Linked DNA regions of Neodiprion lecontei. The protein of the gene in region 3 purifies or fractionates together with the protein of the main gene of each other region. This does not show direct contact. Links are inferred from orthologs where the notes say so. Each region holds a gene or a part of one and is shown on either strand. Other genes may lie near its edges. The genes, in order: actin-binding LIM protein 2, GRB2-associated-binding protein 2, 14-3-3 protein epsilon and bifunctional purine biosynthesis protein ATIC.

What was found.
Region 1: the proteins of 14-3-3 protein epsilon (region 3) and actin-binding LIM protein 2 purify together in Homo sapiens (affinity purification with mass spectrometry; 3 studies listed by BioGRID and IntAct, with this or other methods). This does not show direct contact. The link is inferred for Neodiprion lecontei from reciprocal best matches to the Homo sapiens genes YWHAE and ABLIM1.
Region 2: the proteins of 14-3-3 protein epsilon (region 3) and GRB2-associated-binding protein 2 purify together in Homo sapiens (affinity purification with mass spectrometry; 4 studies listed by BioGRID and IntAct, with this or other methods). This does not show direct contact. The link is inferred for Neodiprion lecontei from reciprocal best matches to the Homo sapiens genes YWHAE and GAB2.
Region 4: the proteins of 14-3-3 protein epsilon (region 3) and bifunctional purine biosynthesis protein ATIC fractionate together in Homo sapiens (co-fractionation; 3 studies listed by BioGRID). This does not show direct contact. The link is inferred for Neodiprion lecontei from reciprocal best matches to the Homo sapiens genes YWHAE and ATIC.

The regions. Positions count from the first base shown.
Region 1 is NC_060260.1:13,824,389-13,829,068, reverse strand, and holds the start of actin-binding LIM protein 2, read right to left. Parts: upstream 3,004-4,680; 5' UTR 3,001-3,003; coding exon 2,862-3,000; intron 1-2,861. UniProt on the Homo sapiens protein: May act as scaffold protein. May play a role in the development of the retina. Has been suggested to play a role in axon guidance.
Region 2 is NC_060265.1:9,032,959-9,037,685, reverse strand, and holds the start of GRB2-associated-binding protein 2, read right to left. Parts: upstream 3,019-4,727; 5' UTR 2,780-3,018; coding exon 2,699-2,779; intron 1,401-2,698; coding exon 1,272-1,400; intron 1,149-1,271; coding exon 962-1,148; intron 735-961; coding exon 450-734; intron 1-449. Other genes in the region: uncharacterized protein LOC124294987, read left to right, coding at 3,889-4,575. UniProt on the Homo sapiens protein: Adapter protein which acts downstream of several membrane receptors including cytokine, antigen, hormone, cell matrix and growth factor receptors to regulate multiple signaling pathways.
Region 3 is NC_060262.1:34,812,831-34,820,498, forward strand, and holds 14-3-3 protein epsilon, read left to right. Parts: upstream 1-1,640; 5' UTR 1,641-1,769; coding exon 1,770-1,833; intron 1,834-4,777; coding exon 4,778-5,084; intron 5,085-5,168; coding exon 5,169-5,512; intron 5,513-5,638; coding exon 5,639-5,709; 3' UTR 5,710-5,747; intron 5,748-5,949; coding exon of another isoform or gene 5,950-6,005; 3' UTR 6,006-7,647; downstream 7,648-7,668. UniProt on the Homo sapiens protein: Adapter protein implicated in the regulation of a large spectrum of both general and specialized signaling pathways. Binds to a large number of partners, usually by recognition of a phosphoserine or phosphothreonine motif.
Region 4 is NC_060262.1:25,615,759-25,621,530, reverse strand, and holds bifunctional purine biosynthesis protein ATIC, read left to right. Parts: upstream 1-1,640; 5' UTR 1,641-1,790; coding exon 1,791-1,806; intron 1,807-2,203; coding exon 2,204-2,407; intron 2,408-2,767; coding exon 2,768-3,056; intron 3,057-3,349; coding exon 3,350-3,841; intron 3,842-3,963; coding exon 3,964-4,353; intron 4,354-4,470; coding exon 4,471-4,735; intron 4,736-4,834; coding exon 4,835-4,954; 3' UTR 4,955-5,243; downstream 5,244-5,772. Other genes in the region: 3-hydroxyisobutyryl-CoA hydrolase, mitochondrial, read right to left, coding at 548-638, 1,224-1,229. UniProt on the Homo sapiens protein: Bifunctional enzyme that catalyzes the last two steps of purine biosynthesis.

The DNA.
Region 1 (4,680 bases), on a different chromosome or scaffold from region 3:
TTTTCACAAATTAAAGTTCAAGTAGGAATGACTTTCAAGAAGTTGGTTTTCCAAATTATGAATATATTTTGTTCATTGTGGTCTACTCAGATAATCCTAAAGGTGCGAAGTAACGATATTTCTTAAACAAGCCTTGTTACAGTAAAGTTATTAACTTCAACCTCATAGATTTTTTGGGAACTTGAAAAGTTGGAATTCGGGTATCGCTGTATCCCTTATATGTTATTATTAGCACTGCTGTAGTTTTTCACGATATGTCACGTGCCCGTTTTTATTGTATTTAAGAACTGCTTATTTTGTTGATTTCAACGTTGACTAAGGACGTGTACAGTGAGGTTCTCTATCTGCGGAACGATACATACGCCTTTTTAAGTAACTGGAGTTACAGCTCGCATTTTAGGTTAAGCATCGTATCCGCTGTAGTATCAGCTGAAATGCAACAATCGTATGAGAGTTCAGTGATCGTATACCGTCACAGCCAACCCAAACGTTATCAAAACAAATAATATTCAACATTCTCAAAGCAAATAGTATTTGACGTTTGAGATGACTGGCAAGATACGATGCCAACCCTATTTCGATTTCTTAAATTCGGCACGACCTACAAGCACGTCAACTTCTCAATAGTTTTATATAATAATTCAACAGCTTTGGCATTTGAAACCGAACAACTTTGATCTAAAACTTTTTCGTGAACCACGCTCAGTTTTCAAGATGTCGTCATGACTCGTTTAAAACGGGATACCTTGTATACAGTGGATCCCAAACAAGTAATTTTTGCAATGGGCAAATTACTAGGACAATAAAACTGTATTACAGGCTTTATATCAAAGTTATCCAATATTATCATTAGTTTGAAAATTTCTCTAATTTTCCCAATCTTCCATGTGAATAGAGTTGTCGAATCCGCGGAGTTAAGGAGGTTGTAACGTCAAAATCATGACAACTACGTAAGCGGGCCAGCGTGCGGCGCGGCGAAATAGTGCGAGTGAAACGCGCGGTGACGCGTGAAGGTTCCTTCTAAGAGAGCAAAAGAGGTGCAGAGTCGCTTATACCTCACAGTCTTACTTTAGAATATTTTTCATATATGGCACGATGAAAACTTATGAACACGTTATCTAATTATGAAAAAAAATACAATACATGATCTAATATGTTTTGATATGAATGTCAAATGTTTTTCTCAAGGAGGGGTACGACAATTTCACTTATTTTTTGCAATTTCTATCTAAGCATATGTTTAAGATACGAACTCCGAACCCTATTTTATCAGAAATGAAATAGTAAAAGTATATCAACTTTTAATAGATGACGTATATTTTGCGGATGAATGCCTCTTGTAAATATCAACAACTTATCTCATTTTTTAATTTCCGTTACAACCACCTTGACGTAAAAAAGGTTTCGTATAGAAAATTTTTTCGAATAAATAAAGTATAATGTATCTGGAAAAGATTTAACAAATCAGGTATGTCATGTTATTCTGAACAGCCGCAAGAATTTCAATGCTCGCGTACGCCGTGATCAGGCGTACTGGGCCACATCCGACAAAAAAAGAGAAAACATTCGACATTATAGATATAACACCGTGAAAGTCGACAAGGCAGTCGACGACACTGGGAGAAGAATTTCATGACGATATTGAACAATAAAAATCAGGACTTTGTCGATTTCAAGATCCTGTTCAAGTTCCTATATATTCGCAGAGGATTTCGACATCCGTTGTATTAATTATCGCTGGTGGTTGACACAAATTTTCAAATTATGCAGCAGTAAATTGTCTCCAAAATAAAATTGACGAGTGATTATACAGTGGTTTTACCAATTCTGCGGTTCATGATGTGCTCATAGAATTTGGCACAGAGTGATCTGCCTTTATACTCCGACACGGTGTACTTTCGATATTTTTCATTGTTACGTACTTTTATCGTCTTTTAATTGATCAAATCGCAGATTCATTCATCAACCAATTGACGAACTCTACAAGTGGGGCACAATTGACCTCTGATATTTTTAAAAGTTTCAGTAATACGTAAAATTGCATATACTCGAGTTTCAAGTGGATAATTATCAATGTTTTACCCGTTTTCGGTATTTGCAATAGGCCTTCAATTGTTGGTGCAACAAGTAAGAAGGAGCGAATCGAGAGCAAATATCCATAACTGCGTAAACAATCGAAACCGTACACATATAAGTATCCAGTATATGCATGTATATGCTTGTTGGTATATATATCTATGTATAATGTATTAAGCCTTCTCGCTACAACGGTTTAAAAATACGTGGTGACATCATAATAACACTTAACATGACGTCATATGTTGTAAACGCTGAACTCTTCATCGGACTGGCTAAATTACTGTTTCCGCGCTGCTATTTTCGTTTTCACTCTTTTTTCTCGTTCCTGAACTCATTCCTATATTTTTTAACACATGCGAAATATATGTGACCAAATGCCACTATAATTCTTAATGATATGTTAATACAATTCAGACATGGAGTTAAATAGGATGCTGTCAAGTGGGGTCAAATATAATAACCTAATGCACTTCTGAGGTCGGCTGTAATGTCAGCTTCTAGCAACTGTGTACGATTCTTACATACGTAGCCTCTTATAATTGCATATTAACAAATTTCGTATAATGCTAAATGATCAGTACAAGGACACCTTTACGGCGTTTCGTCATCATACCCAAGGTACTTGAATATTCCGTAACATTACGTACATTTCCACCAAAAAATGGTAATTGTAATACGGAAAAAAAATCATGTCTACGAAGCGTATCGTAAGCTCAGACCTAGTATTAAAACTATGTTGAACATTGCACTGACACACGGATGATAATGGTAGAAATTCTCACGCTTTTTGAAAAGCTTCCTTGTATCCTCGGCACTTTTTGTCTGATTATTATTATTATTATCAGCCACACCTATACCGGGAGAAGATTTTATATTTTTGCTCTCCATCGAGGTAAGCTTTTCGTCCATCTTGGTCTTCATTTGGTATACACACACACACGCACGCTCACACATGCAGACTCACATAAGTGCAACAGGATTATTGCTGAAAATGACATATAAACCTAGGTGAATCGTGTCATGTCATGTCATATATATATATACACACACACGCACCAGGAATAAGAGATTTTATATTTTTGCTATATATATATATACATATATATATATATACATGATTCACGCAGGTTTATATGTTGTTTCCAGCAATAATCCTACGGCAGTTATGTAAGTCCGAAGGTGAGGGACGCACGTATTTCTCGAGGTGCGGCGGCGACTCCACACCTCGTCTGCCTCGGCTCTAACCCGCTAGCGATAAGATAAAGGCGTGAAAAACAATCCAAACGATTAACTGTTATAATTGGTAACTCGAGGTTACCTCAGGATGTACGAAGCTCGCACTACCTAATACCGTTCTTGTGAATGCAGCAAAAATTGCAGACTGAAAATACCCACTTGAATCTTCCTCCTCAATTTCGTGCAATGTCCAATTGCTTCGTAATACAACTAATTTGCTGCAGGATAAACATGGTTGGCCTGCGCACCATCCGTCAGCCCACCCTTCTTCATTCAAAGTCCCAGAATTTCATAACGCGACTTCACAACCGACTTGTTTTACATGACGATACGTTCAGACATAACCGCCATATCGCAAATTACAATGAGACAGAAGTAGTTGAAGTTTGCAGAATATGAGTATTTTTTTCATGATTACAGTGTACCAAATCTCAGGCAATCTGGCAGTTGCGAAACAACGATTTATCGTCCCAAAATATGTATTGTTACACTAACGTAACGTGTAACTCCACGTCACATAGAACTCCAACCTCATCTCATTCGAGGCACTGGATGTATGGACATTTTTCGTTTCGCCATTAGACACGATTGATTGACGGAGACTGCGTATACTTTTTCATACAAGTTTTCGACCTTCGACTATGTTACACCGGGAAGGATTATTTATAGTTCGGCTAACGGTAAAAATCACAAGAGTCTTCGTGATCAGTCGGAAGTAAAAAATTTTGAGATATGCGATGATAAGCAAATTTCTCCTAGTTGTGACATCATTCGTGTTGATTTTACCATTTTCTGATATATCGTAGCATATAACTCCCCCGGACAGGGGATTGCAAATATAACTTTACAAATACATAACGTTACAAATACCACAAATAGACATTCGATGAAAATGTCTGTACGAAAGATGCAATTACAAAAAAATTACATGCAATCATTAGTTTTACAGGTGAAACGTTGAAAAAAAAAATGTAACACGCTATTCTCTTTTGAAATGAAAACAATTTCACATCGAAATCAATCACTATTTGTTCTTAGTTCCATCGACAGTTTGATAGTACTTGCTAATAACGAACTGTATAAAATATCCAGTCGCTATCTGACTCTAAGTAAAGATAAGATTGCAACGTCTTGAATTACAAACTTCTCGGAGCGTAGTGTGTAATAACTTGAATATGAACGAATCGTTACATTCATGTGGTTTTCTCTGTAACCCAGTCATTATGAATAGCGTCCGTTCGGTTCTCGTCCTAAGATGCGAATATAGCGAATTTGATACCATCTGCGTATACCACTAAAAGAACATCTAACTACATCGTGCTGAATGGTATCAATGGTTGTGGCATTCGGTAAGACATCGGCTCA
Region 2 (4,727 bases), on a different chromosome or scaffold from region 3:
ACGACAATTTCTAATAGGCAAATGGTGGATCAAAAACGGTGTAAAAAGAAAGTGGTCCAAATAGAAATTTCAAAAAATGACAGTAAAAGTTAATATGAATGCAAATAATAAATAAAGTAAATTTCCAACCAAAAACATTCGGAAGAATGAGTTTCTCATAGTTGAAATTCTAGGAACATCAGATAATAAATTTAATTTGTACAATCATAGTTGAGTCGATGTCAATATTATGTAACATATTACTAAAAAGCTCAAATCAATTAAATGAGCCTTTACGAAGGAATCAACACATGGATTGATTTTCTAAAAACAAAATCTAATTCAAAGGAGACAGCATCTTCTTTCCTCACAAATCATTGCAAATACACTTAAATTTTGAAAGCAATATCCGTGAGTTAAAGCTGATCAATTAAGGTCAACTGCGGCTTTAATTACAATTTTTTACTTACGAGACGAAGGAAATGTCTCCCAATTAACACTAGGAACTGGAGAAGTCCATTCATCGTCAGTAAATACACTTTCTGCATCAGTTGTAGTCGGAGATCTGGGTGGAGAGGGAGCCAACTTTCTTGGGGCATCATAATATTGTTCTGTATTCTGTCCCAGGGCAGAACTAAGAGAGCTTGTGTCGTTCAAGGAGCGGCCAGAAATGCATTCACTGATTGGAATGTAGGGTCCAGATATAGTACTGGTTGGTGAGATCGGAGGCGACTCTTGAGGCTCGAATGGAAATACTGTTGAAGAGAAAAATTGAAACATAGACAACTTTACTTTGCGTCACTGGAATGTGTTAAAAGTATATTCGTCTACACAGCAAAAATACCAAAGAACCAAAAAATGTCTTTCGTAAACAAAGATCTGCATTTTCAAATTCAATTAATATTTAATAAACAGACAATTTGTAACAGAATTGTTAATTTAACAAGTAGTTTTAGATATAGATACTTATTTTCAGACTTACTTTGACAGTGCGGCTCATCATCCTGTGTGTAAGCTTTCAAACCGCAAACCTGGCAAACTGCATCAACCCACTTGTTCATGTCAGCTTCGCTCTCTGCCACCAGGTAGTAAGTTCTTTTCGGAGTCTTCACGTCGAACATGAACTGATATTTCTGCTTTCGATTTTCAAATCTCAAGCCAGCATCCACCTGCACATTTGTAGTTGATTAATCAACGATTATTCTCATTCTTAAATGGCAAATAACTTGTAATTTTTGGCAAAAACTAACTTTAATGACGTTTTTAGAATTTTTGGAAATAAAAATAATTACCTGCTCGCATTGATCCAAATCTATGCGGCCCTTGAGCTTTCTGCAACGTCTGTCTGTGTAATATTCCAAGAAATATTGTCCAGGCAATTCTCCGCTGTGACGGAGCGCAAACCAACGCTTTCGCCATCTCTAGAGCAATCAGTTTCGAGGTACGATACACGGTAAGAATTTGTTGAATGTTCTGCTTCAATGTTGTTACGAAAAACAAATTGGGTGTGGCAGACAACAATAACTACTTGACAAAATGAGGTGCATATGTAGCATAATAACACCAAATTGATTTAAAACAGTCCAATATCTAGATCTATCATTGATAACTTTCGTGGAACATTACTTTCTGTTGGAATTCAAATAATTGGACAGTACTGATGAAACAGGTTTTTTCTGGTTGCAACAGATGCTGACTAGTTAGTTACGTTAGAATCAGTTTCAAGGAGATTCGTTTTCGTTGCAGCATAATTCACAGAGCTGTGTGTCAATGAAAACTAAGATATTGAACCCTAGTGAATAAATCAGAAAAGTAAGAGTTGAAATGTATTCATTATGAGGGAAAAATATCATAATTCAAAAAAGATGTAAGGAAGATTACATACGAATGAATGGAAACAGTCAAATATTATTAGATTTGCCTAAAGTAACATTATTTTTATGTGCTTCTACCAAATTACACAAATTATTCATCAACAATGCTATCTACATATTATGACAAGTGATTCTATACCACATACACATAAATAAGATTACACATAAATAAGAATAAAATTAAGTATGCTAACTGAGATGTCAAAGAATACTGATAATTATGTATAATCACTTTGAGGCTTTGATTAGATGCTCTAAATAAGTTTACATTTGGAATAGTTGCCTGTAAAAATACTGGAAACAGTAGCTCAGCAAATATGACAAAGACGACTAAGATTAAAGTAAATTGACAACAAACAATGATTATTAGGAATACGTCATAAATTTAAGTAGGATAAACCGAGATCTGAAGTATGTGCAACACACAGATACCTGACTAGCTGTCCGTGGTGGCGTTGAGCCAATTTCCACAGTTGAGCAAACAATCAATGATTATTAGGAAAAACCCAAGCGAATAAAAAGATTGATTCAGAATTGAATTGGGAAAGACAAGACTACAAATTCTTTTGGGGTCTCACGAGTATCCAGGTATGAGGTGGAAAGGATATCTTTCACTTCCTAGGTTAGACTGACGGTTATATTGTTAGGAAAAATGTTAACCCATTTAAAACGGTTCGAAGTGTCCCGATCAAGAGTGGGGCTTGACGATGTATGAATCCCATTCAATTAAAACAGGGGTTATCCGAGCGTTAAATGGGAATGATTAATTGTCGGATGATAGAAGCCCTGGTTAACGTAAACAATGGAAAGAGTCATCTTCGATTAGATTTTAGAGGAAACCTTACCGCTTTCCACAATTTTGAGGGTGGCGATTTTATAAGCCAGCCTTCGTGGACGATTTCTTGGCTTGTTTTGAGCGTATCCATGCCCTACACACTTCTTAACGAGTCGTAACGATTAATGACACATCATTGAGAAGACCGAGCGACTAACACGCACGTATTCGGTCCATTTATCTATTTTTGGTCGATACACAGGCAAGTAGCTCACCAACGAGCATCGTAATCTCGACACACAACCAAAGTTAGTTTGTAAGATAAGGTTATCTCACTTCGTTCGTCACTACAGGAAGTTTGATCCACGAACGTCTAAAAGACATAGTATAAAGAACGTATAAAGCAATGGCATGAAGAGGACTGAAACATCTGCTATTGAAGTCATAGGGTGATTTTTAATCATGAGTGTGACGTCGCAACTGCTGTCCCCAACGATTCCAGAAGCTAGACACTGGATCTAATCGTGATGGCACAGCTAGACACAATCAGTAGTTCTGGGTGACCAAATACCAACTAGCATTGGAATGCACTAGACAGTGGATGCTCAATCCCGCTTTTCGAACAAACCGGGAATAGGATTATCCTTGTATTAATTAATGAAAATTATCTTACCTTTTGAAGATGATTAAAACTCGATGAGCAATGAGTCGATGTGTTGATACTAGCGCCACTTAGTATGCGCTGAATGTGAAATATCTATTTTCTTGACATTCCTATTGGCCACGAACTAGGCAGTAAAACACTGCGGCAGCATTTTGTTGCCCATGAAAAACCAGACCAAAGAGGATTGGATCTTTGCTCAATACTTGCCAACACACTGAAAACACGAAGGGTATGTTCCAATATACACTGCGAGCACTGTTCAGTGCTCTTACTGGGGAGAAATTCGTTCCGATATAGACTGACTGTATGCAGTCGCAGTATCCTAGGGAAATATATGACGTCATAAATCGTCGCCATTTTTCTACTGTGAACACTGGTGCTTTCAAGGTAAGGTGCTCTCAGTGCTTCGATCACGTGATCAACAGCGTTCAGTTGCCAGTACTTGCAGTACTGCGAGTATATTTCGGAATACACCCATGGTGTGCCTAGAACTCCTACGACACGCCCCTTTCTTCGGGGGTTTAGTTACCCAGATATGCACCAAAATATAATGGATCATATAAGAAATTTTCGATGACCGAATATATAGATACAGAATGCAGACTGAAACTAAAATCCTTACTAGATCAAAGAGAAGAAGAGCAATAAACCAGCAAGAGATAAGATATCGCATGAGCATTCAAGCAGTGAGAACTCTGTTCCATGCAGCATGTCCACATCCAATACACTACAGGGATGATGAATCTGGTGAATACGACACCAAAAGATTCATGATGGATTTGCAAATATGGATATCCTTAATCTTAGCTATGTGGATCACAATGTCTGACACTATGCGTGAATATACATGTGAATGTTGTATATCACTTAGACAAGCTGCTACTAACTATGAAGACAAGCTTAAGATGATTATGACTCACAAAGATTTTCATGCAAAACGAGTGTCAAAGTCTACGATAATCGGATGGGCAGAAGGCATATCAACGGATGGAGCCAAACAAGTCTTTGATGATTTAAAAGATTTGTTCGAAGCCATCATTATGGCAAAGTCAGATCCTAGGATAGAAGAGTTAACTACTGATTTTAGTGCAGTATCAGATATGAGTGTAAGTTCAGATGATGATACTAAAGCACAAGAGCAATCTATTCTAAAAGATGAGCTCAAAGCTGATGATGAACACGGAGAAACAAGTCAAATCGTAGAAGAACACCAAAACAGCGAAGAAGTTGCAATGGCCAAAAGAAAGAGGAAAGCAGTTCCTCGACCAATTGGATTAGACTAGGAAATAGATGATACCGATGGCATGATGACTGTGTGTTTAACACAAATATCAAAAGTTGTCAAAGTATATCTACCCGAAACTATAAAAATTGGTAGAGAAGGTTTGCGAATGTATACCGTTAATTACCTAAAACAGATTCTGAAAACGATCTG
Region 3 (7,668 bases):
GCGGTACTCTTTACTTGGCAACGTCTTGCAGGCTGAAATTTTAAAGAAAAGAGGATGCTTAAAATTCCCATGCTGCACAACTAATACATAGTACAGAAACAAATATGATATAATTTAATAAATTGAAATAAAAATAAAGGTGGCGTGTGAGCTTCCAAAATATTTAATTAGGGAAGCAACTAGGCTTTGTATACAATATTATTACGAATTTTTCCTGTCCCAGATTTACATTTGTTATTTAATATTATTACTTTATTATCACCATTATTATTATTATTGAAATGAACTTATTGTGTATCCCTATTCCCTGCTGGAATTACATAATAGTGTTGGACTGTTTTCATTAAGATTACATAATTTGAACTTGATTTGTATCAGTATCGGATGAATTGAAAGTACAGACTGTACGGAATTCATTTGTCCGCTTTCAACTTGTTTACGATCCACTGTTATTTCAATAGTGTCATCACACTTACAATTAGACATGATAAATTTTCAAATCGCAGATTATCCTCGAGATTATCTAGGCTCAGAAACGAAAATTTCAACATCTCTTACATTTATGTATATCAATCAAAGAATTAAGCACCAACGACTGTACTTCAAAGTCGGATGACATTGCCCACCAGCTTTTAACTACAAATTCCTCTCCAATGAATGTCCAAAAATGAACATTTGAATGATTCATATCGTGAGGGTTTGAGGAAATTGAAGCTCGATGAGATTGCCATTTGTCGATCACTAGCTGACACCTTGATAGATCAATGGGTGATTCATCTTCAAATTTTCACAACTACAGATTTCTACTTGCAGTATGTTGTACTGTTATGTTAAATCCGTACGATTATTCCCAGGCTGTAATCTAATTTTAACTGTTGATAATTATTGAAAAGATGATACATTATCTGTATACATATAAATACAAAATAATTATTAAATAAATAATATTAAAAACATAAATAAATAAAAAAATATAACGATAATCTGGATAGCGAAAATATTTGGATATTAGAGCTTGTATAGTAGGCATTCGTTGAAGAAGAAAAAATACAACTGCTTCGCTATATGAAGTTTTTATTCCATGACAAGATTATTGAATATCCTTGATCACAGGTTCATACCAACACCCGCATTCCCCACTCTAGTCTCTTGACATTTTTTTATAAATAATGTTTTCCTATCGTCAATAAAAACTAATTTTATTATATGCGCATCGTGCGCGATGTATAAATTAGTATACAGGTATACATTTATACATACGTAAAAATACACGCGTATTTTTTCATGTGTATTTTTAAACTTCCTTACAGCCCGCCGGGCTTTAACATTTCAAATCACTCTGTTGGCTATTTGTGAAAATCAGCATTCGCTTTCTGACGGACAGTTCGTAATAATATTACTAATTACAAGTGTTAAATTCGCATTCGTATTAAACCGGTGCGTATCATTGCAGAAAAATTCACTAATCTTTATCGTGGATGGGGGATTGAAGTTATTTTAAAGCGGCGGATTTACCTGGAAAGCGGACCTACTCATCGTCATACGGCACTAACGTGACGTCACGCGTAGTAATACATTCCACGGCCGAATCACAATGAGTCTTCGAACCTACGCCAATGGGACTGCTTTCGATTGTTGGCGGGCGCCGCCATCTTGGTCAGTGAGCTTGTAAGCAGCCGTCCGAGGAGGTGTCCGTTTTTCGGTGATACGTATCTAGTGCGAATTCTCGAATCCTTTCAGCGACCCCGTGAAATCCGCTAGCATCCAGGATGTCGGAGCGGGAGGACAATGTCTACAAGGCAAAACTGGCCGAGCAGGCAGAACGCTATGACGGTGAGTCGTTATTTTTAACGAAATCTTTCGGCTTCCAACAGAAATTCGGTGAAATTCGTCGATGACCTCACGAAAAAACCTTTCCACAGCTAATTATTCCGTGGTCAATTTTTCCGGTTGTTATACTTGACAGACGATGGGCGTCCTCTCATGTATTTGCACACTTTTTTTTGCCACTTATTTCCAAAGAACTGTCAAAATCTAACTTCAAACGTCAGAACTGACAAATTCGCCTACCGCGCGCAATGCCGGTCCCTCGAGGTGACCCTCCCTTTTGCTTCCTACGCGTTTCTCTACTCTTGATCGGCACTTTAATTACAGCAATGAATAATTCTAGAGTTCGTCGTGGTTATGCCTCGTTAATCATAATCCATGCCGAGTGACTCGGGACAACGTTGCTAGGCGTGTAATCGAACGTGCGATAACCGCATTTCGAGTGACGCATAGACATGGGAAGGCAAAGCTTTTAACCGCACGTATCTATCAACTCGTGTCTAGGCATAAAATCCCTCAAACTTATCGGGATTATCTTCTTCTTCATTGGTTCTTTTTTTCAACCTTGTCCCCATGTCGCGTCTCGTCCTATAGAGTTCCATCATTTCTTTATTCCCGTCCAAAGTAAAGTATGGCTATTCGCTTGGGGACTTTTCCCCCCTCCCGTCTGTGGTGCCTTCAAAAATTACGCTCTACATCTTCGCGCAGTCGTTTACACGCGATATCGCTGTTTCAATTTACATCATTGCGTTTTAAGTAACAGTACAATAAGAACAAGTCCCGTTTTACGAATTCTTGAAAAGGAACGACGAAAAAAACACTACCATCAACTTTTCCCGATTTCTTTTACAATTGAGAACAATTGCGTATACGCAATGTCGTCTTCTTTGATTACTCCGGCAAATACATGCTATGTAGTAGGCTGGTACTCACTGTTTGACAGGAACATGCATTACCTCATGAGCTGTATATTATCTGTTAAGAGCTCCGTGAACGAACAGAAGAGATAATTGAAAATCCGCCCTACTACGGAGCTAAAACCCATTAAAATGTTGCAACAGTTTATCTGTGATGGCAAATCACTTAGATCTTCATTCAGATCCAAACGATATTTCATGATATCACTAATCTTCTTCACAAATATACGTGCTGTGATTTTGGAAAAAATATATAAGTACATTATTTTTAGGTAAAATTATTAATCTAATCTTGATTGGATGCCAATCACAGCATGAACCTATTAATGACTAGGCAAATATTTGAATAGATAAAATATTTATCAAGAAGATCTCAGTCAAAAAGGGTATCAGTGGAGGGTTTAATTTTGAGGGTAGTAAGAGCAAGCAGGCAGAGGGAGAACCAGGCAAGGGGATGAGTGAAGCAAGGGAGGTCGTAGCTGAAGGAAAGTATTGATCTGTGCCTGCTATCCTGTGTCCCTGTACACTCTCTAGCCCATGTACTTTATTCGTGTTAACTCTCTGGTCTTATCAATTCATTGAATAAAAGGAATTACTATGCTACATCAATCATGTATTTTATGCATTTTAGAGAATTATTCGTTTTGATTGTTTTATATGTGCATTTAATTACAGCTGATTAGCTTACACAATTTTAATATTGATTTATCGTAATGATTGCTTGAAGGAGTCTCACCTTTTTTTAATCCTCGTTAAGTTCTCGTTGCATAACGATAATATTTCCATTTTTCAAATTGCTACTTTGGTTGGAGAACTCTCAAGGACTTATCTGCAGGTCCATTTGCTACCGTTTCTCATTCGCTGCAAGAGACTTTAAACTTCATTTAAAGGCAAAGGGTTGCTATTCTGTTCCGTTATTTGGCTTTAAGAAACAGCTGTAAAACTTTTACATTAATCGTAGTTGTTACATTGCTATAGTGTCAAGTTTCATTTTTCTTCGTTTAAGATGTCAACACATATTAGATTTTAAGATGTCTAATTTTCCACTTTCGTCTTTACTTTTAAGGATAACTTTTAAAAATCTTATATGACACTTTAAATTTCCCAGTAAAATATGCTTTATACGCATATTTGTACGTGTCATCTCCAATGACCTAACAATTTTGAGAAAACGGATCTTGATTTTGATCTTTTTAACAGAATAATTTTAAAGGACATTGAGACGAATTTTGCTGTTGTATTATAGGCATTTCGAATTGTTGCAGGAATTTTCTTGTTAAGAAAGGTGAAACAATGCTTTATTTCCTTTTGCTAATTTTTTCTTGCAATTCTTTTACATAAAGTAGAGAAGTTTTTATCAAGAAATTCGAATTATTCAATACATGATTTACAAACCAAGTACTGGACCTCTGGTTTATATGTTATTTAATGAAATGCCAGCTGGAGCAACTGGAGTTCAAAAATTATATCACAGTGATTCTACGTAAATAATGAAATAGTGAATAAAATGGTGTAGATTGCAAACTCTGGATCAAAAAATTTGACAATTACCTCAGAAACTCCCAGTATTTCCGAAAATCACGGAATCACTGACATGGTACTCTGAAATCTATGAATGATTTATGAATCAGAAATACCTCAGAATTTTATTTATATGCATGTAACTTTGTAAGTGATTTTTTTTATTCGTTAGCTCTGAAAAAATTCTAATTTTGACAGTAATAGCTACCAATTAACTTACTATTTTTGACCCCTTAGTGACACCTAATAAGTTCTTGACTTAGATAAAAATAAGAAAACACGAGATAAATAAACTTTGTTTGTCCTCTTCATCAAGTCTTCATTTTCGTTTTTACACATCTTTCATCAGCTAAAAACAGAAGTGTGTGAAAAAATTATTGCTCTTGTCTTGAGAAAGATGTTCCGTAAAGCAAAACTGCATCCTGGCATTTGTAATCCAATGTTAGTTAATTGTATCATGTGTCATAAATTTGACAAACGTTTGAACTTTAGTCATAATATTTGTATTGCAGAGATGGTCGAGGCGATGAAAAAGGTAGCATCCCTCAATGTGGAGCTTACCGTCGAAGAGAGGAACTTGTTGTCCGTCGCGTACAAAAATGTGATTGGTGCGAGAAGAGCCTCATGGCGGATAATCTCTAGTATCGAGCAAAAAGAAGAGAACAAAGGGGCTGAGGAAAAATTGGAGATGATTCGCCAATATCGTTCGCAAGTTGAAAAAGAACTCAGAGACATTTGTGCCGACATACTCGGTGTCTTGGACAAACATCTTATCCCCTGCGCGTCAACCGGCGAGTCTAAAGTCTTCTATTACAAAATGTAAGGACTGTAAATTTATTCTGTTTTATCATTATCTCATTTTCCATATGACATTTTTACTGAGAAACATTGATTCGGTTACAGGAAGGGTGATTACCACCGTTACCTTGCAGAATTTGCAATTGGTAATGACAGGAAGGAGGCGGCCGAGAACTCACTGGTTGCATACAAGGCGGCGAGCGACATCGCAATGACAGAATTACCACCTACTCATCCTATTCGCCTTGGACTGGCTCTTAACTTTTCCGTGTTTTACTATGAGATTTTGAACAGTCCCGATAGAGCGTGTCGCCTTGCAAAGGCTGCCTTTGACGATGCTATTGCTGAATTGGACACCCTTTCAGAAGAGAGCTACAAGGACTCAACTCTCATTATGCAACTCCTCAGGGACAACCTCACCTTATGGACCTCGGATATGCAGGCGGACGGTAAGTCATAGTTATTGTTCTATTGACTCAATAAGGGTTTATGAAATGATATTCTAAATCTTGAAAATTCGTGAACAATATAAAAAGAATTAGTCTTAGATGGGGCATTTTCAATTTCATATCTAGAATCTGAAGTAGAGCAGCCAACTGTTCAAGGAGATGGTGCTATACCCATTACAAGTGATTCCCATCCTTAAGAACACTGTCCAACTCCCCCTCCTTATACCATCATCAGGTTAGAAATATCTCCTTGCTGATCAAGGTCAATTTAAACCAAGAACACCTGTTAATTGAATCGAACAATCAAATTATGAGATTTTCAATAGGATAATTTTCTCTGTAGTTTTTAGGTAAAATTATCATTGATAAAAAATTTGTATTTTCTTGTATTACTACTTAAGTTTTCAAAGATAAAATTGAGCTACTTTTTGTAATAGGCGAAGGCGACCAGAAAGAGCAGCTGCATGATGTGGAAGACCAGGACGTGTCGTAACTTAAGTTGCAGTGAGTGTCATTCGCGCATACAAATGAAAGAAAGAAAAAAAACTGTTAATAATTCTTAAGCAAAAAAAAAAAAAAACAAAAAAAAACAAAAAAACATACAGCGGGTGGGAGTTCAGGGTGGGGAGGGAAGCTCTTTAGCTATCATGTGGTCGTACGTGTGGTAAAACACACATGCGTTCACTCCAAAATCATCCAATCACATGTTGTTGAGTTATGGAGCACGCAGAAAAAGTATAAGAGACGCATCCTGCGTATTAGTGAGATTACAAGCATTTAACAAAGTGAAAATCCGCTGCCTGTTGCAATATTAGTTCCTGGCTGAGTGTAGCTTACACTGTTGTCCTGGGGACCAATTTGCTATATGTAGTTTTCTACATTGCGTACGCTTGGATCCAAATTCTTGAATGCCAATGCGCCGAGACCCTAATTGATAATCAATAATTATGTAATCTTTTAAAAAAATGTAGTTGAACTATCATTAACGTGGATCATGAGAAGAGGTTAGAAAAAAACATAAACATTAACATTTACTCCGTGTAAGAAAAAAAATTGTTATTACCATTTTTTTTTTTACAAACATTCTTATGCTATTGATACGTGCTGAGACATTAAAAATACGAACACTTTGCTACTAATGCAAAATTTTTCATTTTTCCTTCTTTTTTTTTATAATCATAACATTACGTGTATCTATGTGGCGCATTGAAATAAATTATTTTATCCATCATCACCTATATTCATGTACATCAACGTAAATTAATAATCAAACTTATCAATTTGTGAATCTTCAAAATCAATTCGTAAATTGAGAAACTAATAGCTCTCTTTTTATTCGCATCCCTTTTTTTTTCGTTCTTTCTCTTCGTCTTATCCACGTAGCTTAATACTTTTTCTGGAGATTTTACGTAAATATCAGGTATTTCTGTGAAGAAGCTGATGTCTGGTAATCCTGCATGAAACATCTGATGGTGAACTTTTCATTGTATTGCATTCGTTGATCATAAAATGTCATGGAGAGTACCACAATATCTCTTGTTCCTCATATACTTTTACTTACGTAAAATCTGTAAGAGTTTGAATTAAGCGTACGCTTGCAAGACGGACACCGGGCATGCTTAAAAGAAACAATAAAATAAAATTGAAAGAGAAACAATTTGTGGAAATTGGTGTGTGGCGTGCCCCTACATTTAAGTATTATAGCAGTAATATTAATTCTTAATTATATTATAAATATATTACAAAGAATAACATTAAATAATATTGATAATACCATAAGTAAGTATATTAATAATAATTTTAATTGTACAAGGAGCCGATTGAAGTAATTAAGATTAACTTTTGCAATAGTGAAACGTTATATACTGTAAAATTATGAAAATACCACGGGGTATTTAATTATTGAATCTAAAAACAAGACATTTAAAAAAATAACGTGAAAATAAGACAAATGCCAATGCTGACAATGTAGGCAACACACACACGCAATTCGATAAACACTTAGAACCAGTAAATCATATTTTGGAATTCGCATGCGTTCACTCTGTATTAGGAAATTAATACAATACACCAATTACGACTTTTCCTGTAAAGCCACACATGAAAACTGAAAATAAAGTCATTATTACTGTCTATTTTGTGGCTTGTTCATTGAA
Region 4 (5,772 bases), about 9.2 Mb from region 3:
ATTGCCTATGAATGGAAAAGTTTTGATGTTTTCTAAAGCTTTGAGGCAACCGTAAATTTGTCTTTCAGATTTAATGTTTTACAAAAAAAAAGAATGAAGTTCTAAATGTGGTGAACTATTACACTATATTTATGCGGTTTCTCAACAAATTCTTTAATTTATGGATTTTATACATATATTGGAGCTTCAATAGCCACCCTATTGTTCTAGATCTGCCTTGAATTGAATTTGCATTACATATTTATGTAATAACAGCTCGGATTCTTTGAAATAAAGAAAAATTACGATCAGAAAATTTCAAACTATCGTGTTCCCGCAATAAGTAACAATGATTGTTTTGCTTAAATAAATATCGCAATAATTCAATTGGATTGTTCAAAAAATAATTGCACATATATTTCCATGACCTGATTGCAGAGTCTCATTTCTTATAATTTGAAGTGACAATCTCGTATTACTTAATGGTTGAACAGTTAGTTTCATCCACCGTATGACACTTGACACTTGAAATGATTGTTGCAAAAATTTCAGCGGTATCCATTCATACCTGAACTGTGAATTGACATAATCCTTGCGTTGAACCAACCCGCGCTCCTAATCGCGGTAGTTTTACTCAACCGAAAGGTTATGTTGGACATCTAAAATGAAATGAAGATAAGTATTTGTCTAAAATAGACTGGCGGGTGAGGTGGATTTTTAGGTCAACGAAACATTACCATTGTGTCAGTTTACTATTTATCTACTACGATTGTGTTCCGAATATAAGTAAATAGAAAACTTGTTTCCAGGCAGAATTCTTTATCCAAGAATTCACCAAATATTACTATAGGAATGGATGGAATTGGAGTAAAACTGGTTTAGGAATACTCGCAAAGTTACGTAACTTTTCTTTGTTCGGCGTTCCCGATAAGATTTCAGTTCGACAAACACCGCTCCATCCAATTTACGATTGGCATAATCATTATTCCCGCTGGAAATTCATTTCGAGATTGGTAATTGTGCTCGTACTACTGCCAACACGGCCGCGATTGCATGACACGCGTGTCCGCGTTGTGCGCACAAGGTGCGTGCGTGGTGAAGAGCGTTGAGACGTTGACTGAAGAATATGTTGAGAGTTCGGAAGTTTTTCTTTTATGAACTTGGAGCATATCTTTCAGTGATATCCATTGTCCTATTGAAAAAAGCGGGGATTGGCCTGCCGCAAAAACTGAATGACAACTTACCGACATCGACGATTATAACAGATCAGTACGGGTACACCTTATGTTGTCAACGAGATTCAAAATGTTCAAAATGAAACGTTCTATGTTTCTATGATTGACTGTTAATTAAATACATTTAAGGACACACGGAAAGGTCGCTATGTTATTCTATTGGTTGTATGAAAGCACATTATTTACGATGACGTAATAATCGTGTTATAAATATGAGCGCTCCCAGCATAATGGAATACATATTTGAATAAATGTCTTATAACCGGCCTGGCAAATATATTTTTGTTCCAGAGATGTTTATAAAATGCACAGCGCTTCAATGTCCGATAACTTTTGACCCTGGACCCCCGCAGACCGTGAGATAAGTCCTTTGACGCACTCGGTTGAACGAGCTAAATAACAATTGGCGGGATTGAGGCTATAAATGCAGGGATCCGCTTCAGGGTCATACACTTGTTGCCTATCGAACCATACATACGGCACGCGTGTCTGACTCCATTGAAATTAATCTCGTGCCCGTTCAGGCATATTTCGGTTGTGTTTTCGAAGACTGAAGGCTCCTTAACTACCGTAAATATGAGTGGAAAGCTTGGTGAGAATCATTCTGCTACACATTTCAATTAACTTTATTTATATTTACCAGCATTCTTATTGCTCAAAATTCTTTGTGGAACTTACACCGGTTCCCGAGATGTGGGTTAACTTTACCTTTGTATCGGCACATACATTTTCCCTTTACGAAGATACGAACTTAGAATATATGTAATATATTTTATTCCGCAGCCCGCAAACTCACTGTTGTAATTATGTATTTGGTAATGTACTGGATATCCTCCCCTTCAAACTAATAATTGATATGGATAAATTATGATGATAGTTGTTTCTTTTATTTTCTTGCATCCACATCAGTTTATTATCGTTTATTGCGATTGTGCCTGAGGTAAAACGTAGGCACAAAACTGTTATTAATATTGTGTATTTTGTTGCAGCTTTGTTGAGTGTGTCTGATAAGACGGACTTATTACCTTTTGGTAAAAAACTATGTGACTTGGGCTTTGTACTAGTCGCATCCGGAGGTACCGCCAAATCTCTGAGAGACACTGGCCTACCAGTTAAAGATGTATCAGACATCACGGGAGCTCCTGAAATGCTTGGCGGACGAGTTAAAACTCTTCATCCCGCGGTTCATGCAGGTACGATTTAATAATCTTTAGATTATTAACAATGATAATGTGTGGTAAATGATTCACAAATTTAGCCTGAATGAATGTTACTGAATTCAATATGGTTCACCAATAGTCATTGAATTTAATGGTCATTAATCTATGTGTTTTTTCCAATCTCTTTGGCTTTGATATGTTCTATATAGTCACTTTATCATTTAATTGTAATGTCGAACACCAAGATGTACGAATCATGCAAAGGATGGTGCCTTTCCGATTACAATATCTCATGAATGAACAGAGCTATATAATCATTTAGGTTAAATTGAACCCAGTGAAAATTTTGTATGTGCTTTTTAATATTATCATTTTATTACTATGCATTTATAGGTATTTTGTCTCGCTTGAGTGATTCAGATCAAGCTGATCTGAAAAAGCAAAATTATGAGATGATAAGCATTGTAGTATGCAATCTTTATCCATTTATGAAGACCATAACTAAGCCAGACGTCATTGTTGATGATGCTGTAGAAAATATTGATATCGGTGGTGTGACTTTGCTAAGGGCTGCCGCTAAAAATCATGCAAGAGTCACCGTTATCTGTGACCCTGTTGATTATAATAAGGTTATCGAAGAACTGGAAAGCTCCTCTGACAGAGATACTTCTCTTGTTACTAGGTATTCAAGCTTTCATTTTTATATCTTATTGGGTTTTAATTGTGTTGTTATTTACTTGCTTTAAACTTCAGAATGCCCTAGACTTATGCTTATATTATGCTGTATTTTATATTTTTGTACTTAGTAATTAGTCGATCACGTGAAAAACGATCACAGCACAAGTCTTACCAGTCATTGATATTCATTATTTAAGTTTTACCACTTTTAACTTGAAACTTTACCAGCTAAAGGTGTTAAAGGTTGTTTAAGGGCCAATAGCATGACCCTAACATATATTTATTTTGAAATTGCAGACAGTCCTTGGCTCTCAAGGCATTCACTCACACAGCTGAGTATGATAATACCATTTCTGATTACTTCCGTAAAGAGTACAGTGCAGGAAAATCTCAGCTTACACTTCGCTATGGCATGAATCCCCACCAAAAACCAGCGCAGCTTTTCACTACTCTAGAAAAGCTTCCGTTGACAGTTGTTAATGGTTCACCCGGATTCATAAATCTTTGCGATGCCTTAAATGGTTATCAGTTGGTCAAAGAACTTAAAGCTGCGCTCAATTTACCGGCTGCAACTTCATTCAAACATGTTAGCCCAGCTGGTGCAGCAGTCGGTGTCTCACTAGATGCCGACCAAGCAAAATTATGCCAAGTCGAAGATTTGTTGGATAAATTGACTCCGCTAGCTTGTGCGTATGCTAGAGCTAGAGGAGCGGATAGAATGTCTAGCTTTGGAGATTTTGTTGCCTTGTCAGACCCTTGTGATGTCATTACTGCCAGGATTATTTCACGGTAAGAATTAGCAGTATTCACATAGTTTTCATGATCAGATTTCAATGTAGAATTTCAATCTTAATTGGAATTTCTAAGTGAAATTCAGTTCCAGGTTATTTAATCATTATTTTCCATTGCAGCGAAGTATCTGATGGCATTATTGCTCCTGGTTATACACCAGAAGCACTTGAACTGTTGAAAAAAAAAAAAAATGGCGGCTACTGTGTTCTACAAATAGATCCAGACTACACACCAGCTCCTGTGGAACGCAAAATTCTCTATGGTCTTACCATGGAACAGAAGCGTAACGATGCGATCATTGACAAAAATCTATTTACCAACATCGTAACACAGCAAAAAGATTTACCAGAAGGAGCCATCCGAGATTTGATTGTAGCAACCATAGCTCTCAAATACACTCAAAGTAATTCTGTATGCTATGCACGAGACGGACAGATAATTGGTATTGGCGCTGGACAGCAATCTAGAATACATTGCACAAGACTCGCGGGTGACAAGGCTGATAACTGGTAAGTTGTTGATTTACATTGGGTATGTCGCAGTGAACTGAAACGACCTTAGTTAACCTTCCCACAAAAAGAAATTTGCATTTGTTGACTTTTAAGTTGAAAACATTTCATTTTAAGGTGGCTTCGTCAGCACCCTAAGGTTACGGGAATGAAATTTAAAAAGGGGATAAAAAGGGCAGAAATTTCAAACGCCATAGATAACTACGTAAATGGATCAATTGGAAAAGATATGGACCGAGAAAGTTGGGCTGCTGTTTACGCAGTGGTTCCAGAACAGTTCACTGAAAAGGAACGATCAGATTGGGCTAAAAAATTGGATGGTGTTGCTCTTAGTAGCGATGCCTTCTTTCCTTTCAGGGATAACGTTGACCGAGCCAGATTGGTTAGTAGAGAATTGAAAATTCTCAGTTATCTGCTTTCATTTCTAATCGTTACCGTATTGTAACGAACTATTTTTATTGCTAAATTTGTTTTATTACAGAGCGGTGTTCGATACATTGCTAGTCCAGCTGGTTCCACCAATGATGAAGTTGTGATTAAGGCTTGTGACGATCACAAAATCACTATGGCACACACCAAACTTCGTCTATTCCACCATTGAATTGTTTAGTCCAATTCGGTATATCCCCACTTAGGGAAAGTTGCTGGATTTGGGTGATATGTAGTGTATGTTATCGATCTGAGTATTTCGAATATTCCTGTTATTCCTAGATAAATGTATTTTTATGCATTACTGTTATCACTATTAATTTGGTAGTTTTATACAAATTTTGCCATATTATGTTATACGTATGATATATAAATTTAATGATTTTAGGCTCCTTGGTATTTTTCAACAAGACTTGTATTTCTAAAGATGTTCAATATATTGCTTTTTCTAAATAACCTAATTTTATACGTACATTATTTCTTCACTTCTGTACAATTACACAATATTGAAAGATACTTTAAGCTGTACGTAAGATTTAAATTTTCACGTTATAATTCTACACCTAACAGAATATTAGGGTAGTTGGTTATATGCCCCAGTTTTGAAATGTTATAAAACCGCTTCATTCAGAACCAATGATTCATTTTCAATGTTGGCTAAATTCGGATCATTCGGTTTTCAATAGTGTTCCATTATCTCCCATGTTCCATTATGAATTGATTTAATGGGAAAATAGGCAAAACTGTTCTCTTGTCTCATGATCAGTAGCTTAGTCTGTCGAATTTATTCCATGTGAGCTGAACGGAAATCATATTTTCATACAAATAAACCTCACAGAAATTCAACCATCATTGTTAAACGATGAAAACAAAAATCGATTTTAGCGTTGAGAAAATGCGTTCGGAATTCAGATTCTACTGTCTTAAAACTTCAAACTTCGTATCCAACCATATCCAACATAAAGTTGAAACGAAGGGAGCTTCGGTATC